Linked DNA regions of Saccharomyces cerevisiae S288C. The gene in region 1 interacts genetically with each later gene. Each region holds a gene or a part of one and is shown in the gene's direction. Other genes may lie near its edges. The genes, in order: RHO5, NDE1, HER1 and AMF1.

Region 1 (3,237 bases):
TCAAGAAAAAAAAACAAGAGAATTTACCGGCGGCCAAAAATACTAACGTAATCCCGTTGACGTTTACGCATGCAGTGTTGTAGGCTCACCAGCAATTATGTTAGTTGAGATGTAACTGCTTCGCGTGAACACTACGTAAATGTTATTGTGTGGAACTGACGTGGACCTTTTCTGTGTTGCTTTTAGTATAACGATATCCATCCTTTTACTTGGATTTTCAAGGTATGTTGACCCTCAATAGTTTGAGCCAGCACGATGGCAGGCCCTTAGGCAAATCAAAAGCATCATGCGGCGGAGGATTTATCATCGTGATGTCATTTAGGATAACGCTATGCATCTTATGCCTGCTGCCAGACCGCGAATTTTTATTTTTTTTATGGTCTGCTTCTGGATCATGCGGGCCGGCCTTCTAAGACATTGACTACGCAGCCTTTCATGTACAATTTTACATTTGCCTGAGGATTGTTTGTCAGGTGTCGCGGCCACAATTCTCCGATTTTCTTCCTGCCATGTCCTGCTGCTTACATCAGCGCAGCACGTGAAAAAAAAGAGGAGGACTTTTGAGGATGGTTGAGTTTTTCTTTTAATCGTTTTGTTTCTTTATTGTTTTTATTTTTACGACATTTTCCCCTCGAAGAATATTTATCCGAAATCTCCTCAAACAAGACATAAATCAAGATGCAAATGGTGGTAGATAGAGAAAGCAACTAAAAAATGTCAAACAAGCGTCCTTATTTCATTCTACAGCGGTTAATTTCAAATACCCTAATCGGAGGTCTTATCTTATTTTTCAAGGGCAAGGCTCTCCACATCGGTAAGTGATGACCAGATAATGGAAAGTAGCAGAATTTTATTTATGTGCCATACAAGCCCGGAGAAACAGAGTAGCTAAAAAATTAAGGTGTGCAAAAGTGGTTTTGTTCCCCGACGCCCGGGCCTTTCTCTCCCCTGAATCTTTTCGTTCCGGCCCCCCTCTCTCAATACCAGATCTGCATCTATACTAAAGCTGCAGTGAGAGTAAACCGGAAAATTATCCTGCGTGTTTGCTTCGGTCTTAGCTTTTACTTGGGTATGCGAGAACCTCTAAGAGCTTAGACCGGTCTTCCTCCCTAAAAAGAAAATTATAAAAGGTTATTATCTGGACTAAAGCAAAAAAAAAACAACGTTTCGGCGTCCGCTCAAAATTTTCATTACGCTTCTTGGTCAAATCAGTTACGTAACGGGTTATGACGAATACGATGAGATGAGTAATTGCAGAAGGCTCCTATGCAGACAGCTAAGCAGTGCTTACTTGAATTACCTTCCCTTTTATTTCTTGATATATCGTCCTTTTTCTCTCTATCTTAGTTCTTGCGAGTACTGGCAATCATGTTTCTCCTTTTTTTTTCTTTTTTTTTTATTTTTTTTTTTTTTTTTTACTTTTCAGTTTCTCGTAGCTTTTCCTATTTTGCTATTTAAAGTAAGTTTAAATAGTACCCTCACTAAACACGTACGGCCGATCCACCAACGAACAAAAGCACGATCCTTGACCCATCATTGTATTCCAAAGCGTTGGAACATTCACTTTTTTTTTTCCGGTCTATTGCACAAGACAATATCCAGAATATTCAGTTGGATAGGAAATACAAGACAGGTGGCACCCACAAAGCACACGCCGAAATATTTATTAAATACAATATAGTATACTAATAAGTCTGATGAGGTCTATTAAATGTGTGATAATTGGTGATGGTGCAGTAGGTAAAACGTCACTTCTAATATCATATACTACCAATTCGTTCCCAACAGACTATGTTCCAACGGTTTTTGATAATTATTCTACTACGATAGCTATCCCGAACGGAACTGCGAGTAGCCCCCTAGAGCTTGACAATGGTAATGATAAAAGAGGTTCACTTTCATCTGCCAGTTCTTCACCAAGTACGGACAGAAAACTATATAAAATCAATTTATGGGACACTGCAGGACAGGAAGATTACGATCGTTTAAGACCGTTATGTTATCCCCAAACAGATATTTTTTTAATATGTTTCTCAGTAAGCGAACATGCTAGTTTTGCCAATGTCACAGAAAAATGGCTACCTGAACTGAAGCAGACTTCCAATATTGAAGGTACCTCTCTTTATACTAAATTAGGGAAGTATCCAATTCTATTGGTAGGCACCAAAAGTGACCTAAGAGATGATCCGGCAACTCAGAAAAAATTGCAGGAAGCAAACTCCGATTACGTGTCTCAAGAGGAAATAGATGAACTCGTACAAAGATGTGGGTTTATGGGCTATACCGAATGTTCAGCTGCTACCCAAGCAGGTGTCCGGGAAGTCTTTGAACAGGCGGTGAGGTACGCTATCTACGAACCAGAATCCCCTAACCAAAAATCAGCAAATCATACTCTAACTGATGAATTAACGACTGCAACAACCAACACCAATGGAGATAAAAATATTCGAGAACAAAAACAGCAACCACACCATAATAATAGTACAGATAGTACTCTTCCGAAAGGAAGCTTACAGCAGGAGAAGGAAGCTCTCAATATCAAACCCACAAAAAAGGGACAAAAAGACAAAATTCACGAGCAATCAAAAAGCAAAGGTAGTAAAATTGCCTCAAATAATCATCACAACAAGCAAGCTAAACCAAAGACGAGAAACGACAAGAAGAAAAAGAAGTCAAAGTGTGTAATACTTTAATATCAAGGAGGCAGAAAAAGTAAATAAATAATTACATATACCGATATCATAAATAAGAAAAAAAGAAATCTACACATATATTTACGTTCTCATTTCTAATCATCTTTTCTACTCTTGTTCTGACTCTTCTTTTTAGAATTTTGATTCCCGGTCTTATTGGCATTTCTCTTTGCCGCGACTTTCTTTTCCAATTGTAAAATATCTCTTTCCGTATTATCAAATAGTTTCTTCTGTAATTCCTCGTCATCAAATTCTTTACGAGCAAATTTCACAATTGAACAGTCTGAGATATACTTAACCTTCGTGTCTTTTAAGTTTACTTCCTCCAATTCCGGTGTCATTAAAGCGTACAAGAAACTTTGATCACCACGACGACCACTCTTGGTAAACAGCCACAATATGGGGTACAACAGAATACAGTAAAGTATTATTAACAATACCACCGAACCATTACTAATGACGCGGCGTAGGCTATTTGATCTCATAGTTCCAGGTTGAACCATAGTAATGGTAACATTTTTTCCTGTTCTTTCAGCGCCATTCG
Region 2 (4,046 bases), on another chromosome or scaffold:
AATGTGTTGCTACATGGAAATCGCCTGTCCCCGTTAAAAGAGTTGAATTTTCCCCATGCGGTAACTACTTTCTAGCTATCTTGGACAACGTCATGAAAAATCCAGGTTCCATTAACATATACGAAATTGAAAGAGATTCCGCCACTCACGAATTAACAAAGGTCTCCGAAGAGCCAATCCATAAAATTATCACTCATGAAGGTTTAGACGCTGCCACCGTGGCTGGATGGTCGACTAAGGGCAAATACATCATTGCAGGCCATAAAGACGGTAAGATCAGCAAATACGATGTGTCCAACAACTACGAATACGTGGATTCCATCGATTTGCACGAAAAGTCCATCAGTGACATGCAATTTTCTCCTGATTTAACATACTTTATTACATCATCCAGAGATACTAACTCGTTCTTGGTCGATGTATCGACTCTACAAGTTCTTAAGAAATACGAAACAGACTGTCCTCTAAACACCGCCGTAATCACCCCATTGAAGGAATTCATTATTCTTGGTGGTGGTCAAGAGGCCAAGGATGTCACCACCACCAGTGCCAACGAAGGTAAGTTTGAAGCTAGGTTCTACCACAAGATCTTCGAAGAAGAAATCGGCAGAGTACAAGGCCATTTTGGTCCCTTGAACACAGTTGCCATTAGCCCACAGGGCACAAGTTATGCCTCCGGTGGTGAAGATGGGTTCATACGTCTACACCATTTCGAAAAATCTTACTTTGATTTCAAATACGACGTGGAGAAGGCCGCCGAAGCTAAAGAGCACATGCAAGAAGCTAATTAATGTTAATTTTGATGCTGATGTTGATGTATAGTAAACATACATATATGCATATACGCACGTATATATATATAAGAATATGAAACCCAAACTGTGGATATTATTTCGTTTATTATGATCTCTCGCATATCTTGATACGAAGTGCAAGTCATTATAATATTTAGACTTTTCATTACGTTAATAGAGAGTCACTTTAACCACGAGGGGAAAAAACACATACCCCTCCCCTTCGAGGTAATCTTCCGGTGAGATCTTCCCTGTATGCAGTTCCCGGGCATAGGCGGGTTTAACATCTTGCTAAAGAACTATCGCACTAACCCTCTGGTACCCAATGCCGAGATTCGGTAATGGGGGCACGGCACTACGGAAAAAAAACTACAATTCTAACTCTACCCCGCCCCTTACGAAAACGCCCTAGCTCAACCATTCCGACCGATAAAAAGTTGCCGCGATCCCGTCGATCGCATTTGGTTTTGAGGTAAAAAAAGAAAGCGACAGGGATCTTCTCCACGATGCTCGAGATGCCCTGGTCCTCGCTATGGCATTACTCTGGCCTCAGCGGTATTTGCATTCACAACCATCACCATCGGGATGGTAATACATGGCTCGGCAATGAGAAGAGTTTTGGCACACATGGGCCACTCCTTATGCTTTCTTTCCGTTGTCTCGAAGCGTGTGGTGTTTCTATTTTCATTCTCCTTCTTGGGTGTATATATAAAAGAGGTTGTGTTATATAAGACAACGCTCATTGGCCTGTTCTTGATTTTGATTTTTTCCGCTTTTGTGCTGTTGGGGCTAGAACTATAAGTGTGTCGATTGTTTTTATCTTCATTATTTCTTTTGCATGTTTAGTATTTAGACTAAATTTATACGCAGCTACTATCTTTTATTATATATTCTGGTAAACCAATTAAAGAGAGAAAAAGGAAAAAAATTTTCACACTAATATTCTTCATATAGCATCATAATATTGACTTATTAGAGCAAATAAAAAATTAACCAATAATAATGATTAGACAATCATTAATGAAAACAGTGTGGGCTAACTCCTCCAGGTTTAGCCTACAGAGCAAGTCGGGGCTTGTGAAATATGCCAAAAATAGATCGTTCCATGCAGCAAGAAATTTGCTAGAGGACAAGAAAGTCATTTTGCAAAAAGTGGCGCCCACTACTGGCGTTGTTGCGAAGCAGTCCTTTTTCAAGAGAACTGGGAAATTTACTTTGAAGGCTTTATTGTATTCTGCCCTCGCGGGTACGGCTTACGTTTCATACTCACTTTACCGAGAAGCTAACCCTTCTACCCAAGTTCCTCAATCGGACACTTTTCCAAACGGTTCAAAGAGGAAGACTTTGGTAATTCTGGGCTCCGGTTGGGGTTCTGTGTCGCTTTTGAAAAATTTGGACACCACGTTGTATAATGTTGTTGTTGTTTCTCCAAGAAATTATTTTCTTTTTACTCCGCTATTGCCATCTACCCCAGTTGGTACCATCGAATTGAAATCTATTGTTGAACCTGTCAGGACTATTGCTAGAAGATCGCACGGTGAAGTCCATTACTATGAAGCTGAAGCGTACGACGTTGATCCTGAAAACAAAACAATTAAGGTCAAATCTTCCGCTAAGAATAACGACTACGACTTGGACTTGAAATACGACTATCTGGTTGTCGGTGTGGGTGCTCAACCAAACACTTTTGGTACTCCGGGAGTTTATGAATATTCTTCTTTCTTGAAGGAAATATCCGACGCTCAAGAGATCAGATTAAAAATTATGTCCAGTATTGAGAAAGCTGCCTCCCTATCTCCAAAAGATCCTGAGAGAGCAAGATTGTTGAGCTTTGTTGTCGTTGGTGGTGGTCCCACCGGTGTCGAATTTGCCGCTGAATTGAGAGATTATGTTGACCAGGACTTGAGAAAATGGATGCCCGAATTGAGTAAAGAAATTAAAGTCACTTTGGTGGAGGCTTTGCCAAACATTTTGAACATGTTTGACAAGTATCTCGTTGACTATGCTCAAGATTTATTCAAAGAGGAAAAAATCGATTTAAGATTGAAAACAATGGTTAAGAAAGTTGACGCTACCACTATAACTGCCAAAACTGGCGATGGTGACATTGAAAATATACCGTATGGTGTATTAGTTTGGGCTACAGGTAATGCGCCAAGAGAAGTGTCTAAGAACCTAATGACTAAATTAGAGGAACAGGACTCAAGACGTGGTTTGTTGATAGATAACAAACTTCAACTTTTGGGTGCTAAGGGATCTATTTTTGCTATCGGCGATTGTACCTTCCACCCTGGCTTGTTCCCTACCGCTCAAGTTGCCCACCAAGAAGGTGAATACTTGGCTCAGTATTTCAAGAAAGCTTATAAAATCGATCAATTGAACTGGAAAATGACCCATGCTAAAGACGATTCAGAAGTCGCTAGATTAAAGAACCAAATAGTCAAAACGCAATCGCAAATTGAAGACTTCAAGTACAACCATAAGGGTGCTCTGGCTTATATTGGTTCAGATAAAGCCATTGCTGATCTTGCCGTTGGTGAAGCCAAATATAGGTTAGCCGGCTCATTCACCTTCCTATTCTGGAAATCTGCTTATTTGGCAATGTGTCTATCCTTTAGAAACAGAGTTCTTGTCGCTATGGATTGGGCTAAAGTTTATTTCTTGGGTAGAGATTCATCTATCTAGTAGAAATAGATACAAGAGAATAACATTTTTAAATGATGATCAGTTTTGTTTTTTATTTTATTTTTTCCAGTTAGTTTGTTTTGTCTTTCATATTATTTCTTTTTTTATCGATATTTTAGCAGAGGCCTTGTCCCTTTTTTATGCTAATAAAATTAAAATTGTTTTATATACATAATCATAATTTATCATTTGTTGCCTCAAACTGATATTCTATCTTAAAAAAAAGGGAAAATGAGTGAGACAATATTTAGATAAACCATCATCAAATATTTAATTTCCAAGAGAAATAAAGTATGTATAATATAATGTTAATGATATCAACTAATGAATCGAAGAGAAAGCGCGGGTGTTGACATTGTGTATTTCTTGCCATCAAGAACAAACATTATCTAGTATCTTTGATCACTTAATATCCTTAATGCTTCCGTCTATGGTACTGAAACTTTTCATTTTGGGCAATTGGAGGGTCCTATTCCCATGTGAATCCTGAATTGACTCATCTTTAGTATTTGGTCGATTGTGTGTAATAGTCCTTCCCATTTCAGGACTGCACGTAATTTCCAACTC
Region 3 (5,943 bases), on another chromosome or scaffold:
ACGACCGGGATCAACTTCCGAGACTTGGAATATATCATCAAATAGAGTGTTAGACATTGCTGCGGTTGTTATGGAAGCAATGAGCTGGCAACTGGGCTTTTATAGCTGCCATCACAGTTTAAATATTCTGAAATTTTTCATCTTAGTTTTCGCTTTAGAAAAAAAAAAATGTGAAAATGAAAGATGAAAATAAGACCTGGAGAAAACCTATCACGTCTGACGAACATGAAAAAACTAAGTCAAAATTTGATACATAATGTCACTAGTATTATGACTGTTTCTGATATTAATTACTTATTATTATACCTAATTATTCTTTTAACCCTTTCTATAAAACAACCAGAAAAAAAAAACCGGAAAGAGAGGACCTCTTGTATTTTATCATATTATCGTATCGCCTCTCTTTCAATGCAAAACGGAGGGGTTCCTCTTTGTTTTGTAGTCCTTGATTGCCGCCTTGATAGCGTCTTCTGCAAGCATGGAACAATGCAGTTTTACTGGAGGAAGACTTAGCTCCTTCGCGATTTCCGTGTTTTTAATTTTAACGGCCTCATCAAGTGACATACCGCGTACCAGCTCGGTCATGTAGGAGGAGGAAGCGATGGCAGACCCACACCCGAAGGTCTTGAACTTAACGTTCTCGATAATACCCGATTTATCATTCACCTGTATTTGTAGTTTTATCACATCACCACACGCAGGGGCGCCCACGATTCCTGTGCCGACATTAGCTAAGGACTTATCCATGGACCCAACGTTTCTTGGGTTTGTGTAGTGGTCAATTACCTTAGGATGGTAAAGTCTTTTGGCAGCTCTTGTTATGTGGGAGCCCGTGAGAGGCTTGAAGTGGGCAGGATTAGCGAGTCTGGCGAACATCTATGCTGTGCTATGTTTGTTGGTGATGTATGAGCTGTAATGAAACCTCAGCGTTGTCTACATATGCTTCTTTTGCTGTTGTTATATACTGCTATACTGCTGCACCGGCCGGCCCCAGGTGCTTATTAATAGTAGGTTCCGCATAGGGAAAAAACGAGGGCGCCAAAAAACGTTGGGCCTGAACCGGACTCTGAAACAATAGAATCATGGTGACTCGGATATATGCAGTATGCTGTGTATCTGTATTATGGGTGTACATATATAAACATCTGACCACTATAAAGTTGCAGTCATAATTCCATACCATGCCTTTCTAGACTGGGAAGGTGCGGACCCTGTAATGAAATAAGAATAATTCCATAGTGGTTTGGCGTTTCCTTTTCCGGGTTATGCTTAATTATTTCTTGAGTTTGTCTGCCTTTTGTTTTTGCTTAGTAACGTTAAGGGGCAGGTTAAAGAAGCGACATGATTGACAGTTCGATGGGTTAAGGTGGAAAGCGAACCCTCTATAACTTACATTTGACTCTTCCATTTGGTTGCAGTTGCCACATTTCTCGAGAACTAGCCTGTTCCCGTTTTATTACCACTTGCATTACGTATTTTCTCCTTTCCTCCTCGCACCAGTTCCCTTCCTTCAGTGATACTGTCGTCTAATATTTGACTGAGTCCCTTCCTTTTTTCTTCATTCTCTTTGGCCATTGTATATGTATTAATTTGTATCTGGTTGAATCTAGTCTGACATGAGCTCCAAGTTGAAGTACACTGATATAGATGTGCCATTGGACTGGTTGTATAAGGGGAAACGAAGGAATAGGACCAAAAGTGCGGCTTCCACGCGCACTTCAGAAGCTACCACCACCTCTGTAAAGAAAACTGCTACTTTGCCATCAACCGCAGCTGTTCCTACGAAAACTATAGCTTCTCCTCAAAGGCCCCTGAGCGGCCAGAATGTAAATAACGAATTATCCAACTCTAAACCAGCAGTATCCGCCGAGAAGGTTTCGCAGCAAGGACAAGTGCCCACTAGGAGGACTCGTTCTCACTCAGTATCGTACGGCCTACTCCAGAAGAAGAATAATAACGATGACACCACAGATTCTCCTAAAATATCTCGAATTAGAACGGCACAGGATCAACCTGTTAAGGAAACAAAAAGCAGCACCCTTGCGGAACCCATCGTTTCAAAGAAGGGGAGAAGTCGTTCTTCTTCTATATCAACTTCTTTGAATGAACGATCTAAGAAATCTCTGTTCGGTTCTTTGTTCGGGAGAAGGCCTTCCACCACTCCCTCGCACGTTGTTGAAAGACCGTTGTCTTCTCAGAATGACCATAAAAAAAGCACAGAACTCCCTCCTATAGATACCAGACAGTCAAAGATCTCCACCCCAACTAGTACTCCTACCACTGCATCTTCCAAACCCAGTAGTTCTGGTGGGAATAGACATTCTGATGGATCTCTTACTTCAAAACTTCTAAGTATTCCTCATAACATCTTGGAAACCTCTTCTACGAATTTTAATGCCCACCACCATATCCAGTCACATCATAGTAGTGGTCGTGAACAAGACTCGCCCCATTCTGAATCATCAGACCTCCCTCCCATTTTAGAAAAAGAAACTACGCAAAAACAATTACAGAAGGTGTCAAAGGTAAATTTGAAAAGGGTTACTATTGCAGTTCAAGAATTTAACTCAGATCCCCCACAACAACTACCTTCTAGGAAGCCTAAAAGGGGTAATGTTCTCATACCAGAAGATATGATTAGTGCCCCCCCACTAATCTCTCTGGGAATTACAAACAGCAGCGATCAAAGCAGTTTTCAGTCCAATATCTCTCCCTCATATTCAAAAGATTCTAAAGAATATAAATTAGCTTTGGAAAATTTTAAAAAAGCAGCTAAAGAAGCCGAAAAACATCAAAAGGATGCGTATTATGTTGCAGAGCGAATGGCTCAAGAAGTGGCAAACTATAAGGCCAGGCAATTGAAGACATCGCCGTTAACTGGAGCAACTAATTCAGCAGCAGATTCAGCGACGGATCAAGAATCCTCCTCTCTAGATGCTAGAGCTTCTAAGCTTCATATCGATAAACCGATCAATGTAGGTGCACATCCTTTCGAAACACATCAGGATGATAACATTAAATACTCTTCTCACCTTGAACAAACATTGGACGTAGCTTACACTAGATGCTGTCATTTGAGAGAAATTTTACCAATACCGTCCACTTTGAGACAGGTCAAAGGTAAAACCGCACCTTTGCAGACTTTGAAATTTTTGAATCCAAAACCAACCTTAGTGGATATATTATCATTTTGTGATTTTATTGCCATAACTCCGATCCATAACATCATTTTCGATAATGTGTCCTTAACCCATGATATGTTCAAGATTGTCATTTGTTCTTTGGTAACCTCTCCGGTAGTGGAGAAATTGGGGTTAAGAAATGTTGTGATAAACGAACAAAGTTGGAAACTACTTTGCAAGTTTTTATTACAAAATAAAACATTGATCAAGCTGGATATTTCTCAGACTAAAGCAAGGACAGATTTAAATGATTCTAACTACAGAGACCAAATGGACTGGGAACTATTTTGCGAAGTTCTTAGAAATAGAGAAGGTAGACCTTTGGAAGAATTGCTTTTGAATGGTTTAAGGTTTGACAAAATGTCATTCAGTCATTTCAAAAATATCCTACTTACTTTCGCACAAATGAACCCTAAAAACCCTATTCGTCTCGGGATGGCTAACGTAGAATTCTCAACCGAGTGTTTTGATTTTCTCTTTAATTGGATGTCTGAATATAACGTTCAAGGTGTGGATTTGGCCTATAATAATTTAGAAAGTTTGGCAAAACGAATGATCAAAAAACTAGCTAGGCTTCCTTATAAGCATTTGGAATATTTTACCCTTAACAGCACTAATATCACCTCTGTTGATGATATGTCCTACATACTAAAATATCTTTCACGTTTGCCAAGCATAAAATTTCTAGATTTGAGCAACTTGCCTCAGTTATTCCCGGGGATTTTAACATCCGGCTATAAGTATTTTCCCCAATTTCCACAACTGAAACGTATTCATTTTGATTTCGACGATCTTTCTATAAAAGAAACAACCATGCTTGTCAGCATATTAGCTAAGTGTGAAACCCTCTCTCATGTTTCATTGATAGGACAAAGTCCTATGCCCGATGCAAGTAAAATATCCGACAGTACTGATGAACCCGATAAGTCGAAAGATGAAAAGAAAGAACAAATCGTATTTATGAGAAATACGCTTTGGGCCTCATTGTATGCATTTGTTAGGGACTCTCACAATTTAGTTAGTTTAGACGTTGACTATGATCAAGTACCAGACGAAATTCAATCAAGAATTGCGTTATGCTTAATGCATAATATGAAGAGAATTATGGACTCTAGCTTTAAATTAGATGAATTGACTGTACAAGATGATTTAATATTTGATGGTTCCTTGATAACTGAGACAGCAGAAGAAGTTTTGAAAAGATTAAATGACAAATCTTTACTTCAAAATGATGTTGGGAAGAAATATCTTTTAAAGAAATATTTTGAGAAAATGGAAAAGGTACATCATAATGTTCAAAATACAATTGATTCTATGTTTGAGAAAAGAAAATCCGGCGAACTGCCACTGCAGGAAAAGGAAAACCTACTAAGGTTATTGCTTCTTGAGAAAAATTTATCAAATATTCTTGATATTTTTGCTTCTATGCCCAATATAGCAGATGTCGTACCATTTTCAAAAGCCGATAATAGTTTCCCTAATATTGGGGATAGCACGGTTAGCGCAAACTATAATGATGGTATTCGTCCATCTCTAAAACACTTAGATTCTGACAGGTTAATCAACGATGTTTCAATTCCTGAAAACGATTCATCAATTAGACCACACTTAATGGCCACCGACTCGGGACGAATCATCGATGTGACCACTGGTAAAGCTCTTCTTTTCAAGAGTTCGTCTAATACCTCACTGGCCGGCAAGAGACAGGAAGAAGAGGAAGGTGAATTACATAAATGGGGTGTGTTTGTACAGCACCAAAGCTCAAGACATAACTCTGGGCTTCCTTCATCCGCCAATTCTTCGAGAATTAGCGGGTCGTTAACACCAGATAGCAGTGTCGCCGGAGGAAAGAAAGGGGAATCCTCTCGCACATCTGGTACAAGGCCAAAAATCTTACCAAAGATTCCTACCGGTGCCGAATTAAGGGATGCCATTATTAAAGCTAAGGGTATTGATTCTGTAGATGATCTGATTAAAAATGTTACCTCTGAAAAGGTTGGATTGGAATCATTATATGGAGATGAATTGAACTCTAGAAGCCCGAGTAATGACAGTTTACAAGAATCACAACAAAAGGCGCCTTTGCAGAGGCCCCTTGTTGAAGATGAAACAGTGACAAAAAAATATGACAAACTATTGAACGATCTGTCTAATGTTCGTCACAGTAAAACCTAAATTATTTTATGCTTCTGTCTTTCCTTTCTCTTTCGATTATTAGAAGGTGCATCTTTGTATAAATATCCCATCAATAATGTATTCTTAGGAATCTATATATGTATGTACGTTTTATGTGTATATGTATTTTACGTTTTTTCATAATCATATACTTTCTGCCGAAATTTTTTGCCTTCATTATGCACACTAATGTTATTAATCAGATAAAAATACAGAAATTTAAAATAAATACTGAGAATAATATAATTAACTGTTCGAGAATTGTCGCAAATTAATAGCTTCACACTACTCCCACAAGGATTCCTAATTCACGTGCAACAGCAACCGGATCTTTTTGAAAATGCTTTCGAATTGGTTGGGACCCAGTTTCGTAGAATCCTCTTTCATCAATCTAATCAGAGAAACGAACCCAACGAGTGTTAATAGATTGATAGCTGTGGACCATTTTTTCCTGCTAGTCATTTTTCTAACACCGAAATAACGGCAGAGCCCCGAACCTATATGATATACACCTGACTCGAGGAGAATAGCTAACGGCACCAGGCCTCCAAGCCATTTCCACCACCTGTTCTTGCTAGATAGTAAT
Region 4 (3,634 bases), on another chromosome or scaffold:
TAGAGTTGATTTAAGATCAGATCGAAGTAAATAACGTGCAGAACATTGCATATGATAGATAACAACCTATAGTATATATTTCAAAATCGCGACAAATCTGAAATATTAATTGATTTGATTAGCTGCAGAGATCTTCTCGATGTAAGGAGCTATTTAAATAGAAAGGGTCAGAATCGTCGTCCTGTGGGAGCTGGTATATACTAAATTGATGAACAACTAAAATAGCACTCTCATTGTCATTTTGGGTGTGAGACCTTAAGCAAGGAGAGATATTTTTAATGGATGTATTAGCGCAGCCGTTGCTTACGGTATTCCTTGGCATATTGTCCCTGAAAAAAAACCGTTGTACACTCGGATACGCATTTTTCGGACTTCTCCCACCCAAGAAACGCAACTTTTGAAGGGCGCCTACACCACTAGACCAACAAGGCCAATGCAAAGCTACAAACAAATGCGTGGGCGCATGGGCATAAGGAGGTGTAAAAAGCTTTTTTTTTTTATGTGAGGAATTACAGGCGGAAGATACTCAAATAAAGCACTGATTTGATGTTACCGAACTTTTCCCCAGGCATAAAATTTTATTTTCATATTTCATCAATTCGATATTATTGATATCGCACCTAATGTAGTCATTTCCTTTCTCTCTTTGCTAGTAGATTTTAAAAAGGTTTCTTGCTGTATTTTTTTATACTTTTATAGACGCCGCTTTCCAAAGTTCATCTAAAATAAGTCGCTACAATGATTTGATCTTGATTCGGTGCTTCAGGAGCCTGCTTGCTTCTTTGCAGCTTCGGCAATTTGGAACCTTGTGTGCATATCCTCGTTTGTAAGCCCAGAAGCACACAGACATCGATCACATCTATAATAGGAGCATGCTATCATAAAAGATTCACAGTATTCGTATAATTACATGGCAGACTTTTTGAAAAGAATGGTATGGAACCAAGTGAGCGCCTAGAAAAAAAGCTGAAAAGCTGAAATCTTAATTGGATAAGAAACTTCAATAACATTTTTCACGCGTTTCTTTTTCAACTAGATTAGCCTTAACAAACGACAATCATCGAGTACCCACGCTCATTACGCTGAACGTGCAAATGTAACGGGGTGGAAACCTAAAACGTTGAATGAACTAGCCAGAACGATGACAATTGCGGCAAGCTTTCCATACGTGTTCTGTTGTTGCGGCTTAGAGTGGTAGGTAACCGCGCCAAGCAAAATTACCTACCACTTTAAGCCCAAAAAGGTGATGTGTAGCTATTGCGGCTGTGGCGGCTATTGCGGTTGTCGCCACGCTTGTCGCCAGGGTTGTCGCTACGAATGTTTCAGCTTTTTTTTCAATGGGCCACTCTTTTCACGTGAAGCGCTCCACGAAATGTGCGGATATTGCGGAAGCTCTCAATGATGAGCTATCGGTAGGGATTAAAATAAACGAGATTTGGCAGCAGTTTTAAATACCAAGGGAGTAGTATATCTAGCCTCCAATAACTTCATTTGTGGAAACTTACTTCTATCTCACTCTCTACCTGAAAAGAAAACAAATATTGTACATTCATCAATTGCTGGAACATAAAGAACATAAAATCAATATGTCAACTAGCTCCTCCGTAACGCAGAAAAACTTGGATACAAACGCGGAAGCCTTGAAAAAGGAGGATAAAGTATTATCAGAGTTTGATATTCAGGATGAGAGGCCTAAATCCCTTTTATGGGAGAGTGCCTTTGTCGGAGTGCTGTGCTCTGCCCAACTAATGACTCAGGCAGGACTTGGACAATCATTAGCGCCGCTTCACATCATCGGTAACAGTTTTGGAACAACGAATGCTGGACAACTTAGTTGGTTTGCTTCCGCATATTCGCTAACTGTTGGTACATTCATTTTAATTGCTGGAAGACTCGGAGATATCTTCGGACACAAGAAATTCTTTGTCCTTGGCTTCTTTTGGTACGCACTTTGGTCCTTACTTGCTGGGTTTAGCGTCTACTCTAATCAGATTTTTTTTGACTGCTGTCGTGCATTTCAAGGCATGGGTCCGGCCTTTTTGTTGCCAAATGCCATTGCGATTCTCGGACGCACATATAAGCCAGGAAGAAGAAAAAACATGGTCTTTAGTCTGTTTGGTGCTTCAGCACCTGGTGGCTTCTTCCTTGGGGCTGTTTTCTCATCCATGTTGGGTCAACTGGCGTGGTGGCCATGGGCTTACTGGATAATGGGTATTGCATGCTTTGTTTTAGCTGTAGCAGGTTACTTTGTAATCCCTCACACCCCCATGCCAAGCCGCGATGCCTCATCTTTCAAGTTGTTGGAACGAATCGATTTTGCAGGGTCAGTTACCGGCGTTGTTGGATTAATTCTCTTTAATTTCGCTTGGAACCAAGGCCCCGTTGTGGGTTGGCAAACTCCATACACATACGCTCTTTTGATAGTTGGTACCTTTTTCTTGGTTATTTTTGCATATATCGAGTCCCGAGCAGCTTTCCCTCTGCTACCATTTGCTGCTCTTTCTAGTGATACTGCTTTTGTACTTAGCTGCATAGCTGCGGGATGGGCCAGCTTTGGTATTTGGATATTCTATACATGGCAGTTCATGGAAGACTCAAGGGGCCAAACCCCCCTTCTTTCTAGTGCACAGTTTTCACCTGTAGCAATCAGTGGATTTTGTGCAGCCGTGACGACAGGTTTCCTTCTAAGCCATACACCCCCAAGCACAGTTATGCTTTTTGCGATGACAGCTTTCACAGTCGGAACTATATTGATTGCTACGGCCCCCGTTCACCAAACGTATTGGGCTCAAACGTTTGTGTCAATCATTGTTATGCCTTGGGGAATGGACATGTCCTTTCCGGCCGCTACAATAATGCTTAGTGACTCGATGCCACACGAACATCAAGGTCTTGCAGCCTCTTTGGTTAATACGGTGGTAAACTATTCGATATCGATAGGTTTGGGTATTGCAGGTACAATTGAATCTAGAGTAAATGACGGAGGTGCCAAGCCTTTGAAAGGATATCGTTGTTCGTGGTACATGGGCATCGGGTTGAGCGGACTTGGCATTTTTGTCGCAGCAACGTATGCATGGAGCACTTTTATGAAGTCTAAAAAAAGGATCTCCGAAAAGCAGCATTTTATAGAATAAGTTCATATATAGAGAAATACTTCATCGTGGTATATAACCCAAACTAATAGAAATAAATATAGTACGATCAAAGTGATAGAGAGGAGCCAGTATATCCCGTATCGTGCGATAAATATGAAAATTACAAGAGGCCATTCTCGAGTGAAAAGATACATTATTTTTTCAAGTAGAAACCTGAAAGAACTTCAGTAAGATAACTTAGCGCACACTTTCCTACTTTAAGCTCACCAAATGGCATCCCCAGGATCGACAGCATTACCACACAAGCGACAAAGAGTCCGAAAGGCTTGCGTGCCCTGTAGGGAACGTAAAAGGAAATGTAATGGCAAATCTCCATGTGAAATGTGCGTTGCCTATGGATATGTATGTCATTATATTGACGGTCGTGTCCCTTCGGCATCACCTCAAGTGCAACAAGTAGGTGAAACATCTCCTGATACGGAGAGCAGACCTTTTGTTCTTCCGGGTATACATAGAAACGAACAACCGCAGCCTATAAA

What was found.
Region 2: mutations in RHO5 (region 1) and NDE1 together harm fitness more than expected from each alone (negative genetic interaction), as found in Saccharomyces cerevisiae (one large-scale study listed by BioGRID).
Region 3: of RHO5 (region 1) and HER1, a mutation in one rescues a mutant of the other (synthetic rescue), as found in Saccharomyces cerevisiae (one large-scale study listed by BioGRID).
Region 4: of RHO5 (region 1) and AMF1, a mutation in one rescues a mutant of the other (synthetic rescue), as found in Saccharomyces cerevisiae (one large-scale study listed by BioGRID).

Annotation. Positions count from the first base shown.
Region 1 is NC_001146.8:299,110-302,346, reverse strand, and holds RHO5 (Rho family GTPase RHO5), read left to right. Parts: upstream 1-1,697; coding exon 1,698-2,693; downstream 2,694-3,237. Other genes in the region: PBR1 (putative oxidoreductase), read right to left, coding at 2,789-3,237. UniProt on the Saccharomyces cerevisiae protein: Small GTPase that negatively regulates a MAP kinase branch, downstream of SLT2, of the PKC1-mediated signal transduction pathway.
Region 2 is NC_001145.3:554,226-558,271, reverse strand, and holds NDE1 (NADH-ubiquinone reductase (H(+)-translocating) NDE1), read left to right. Parts: upstream 1-1,796; coding exon 1,797-3,479; downstream 3,480-4,046. Other genes in the region: TIF34 (translation initiation factor eIF3 subunit i), read left to right, coding at 1-791; FDO1 (Fdo1p), read right to left, coding at 3,882-4,046.
Region 3 is NC_001147.6:761,209-767,151, forward strand, and holds HER1 (Her1p), read left to right. Parts: upstream 1-1,616; coding exon 1,617-5,357; downstream 5,358-5,943. Other genes in the region: DNA-directed RNA polymerase core subunit RPB8, read right to left, coding at 1-57; putative iron-binding protein ISU2, read right to left, coding at 406-876; MCP1 (Mcp1p), read right to left, coding at 5,661-5,943. UniProt on the Saccharomyces cerevisiae protein: Required for HMG2-induced endoplasmic reticulum-remodeling.
Region 4 is NC_001147.6:1,047,925-1,051,558, forward strand, and holds AMF1 (Amf1p), read left to right. Parts: upstream 1-1,586; coding exon 1,587-3,134; downstream 3,135-3,634. Other genes in the region: RDR1 (Rdr1p), read left to right, coding at 3,366-3,634. UniProt on the Saccharomyces cerevisiae protein: Low affinity ammonium transporter of the plasma membrane. May be involved in drug resistance through pumping them out of the cell.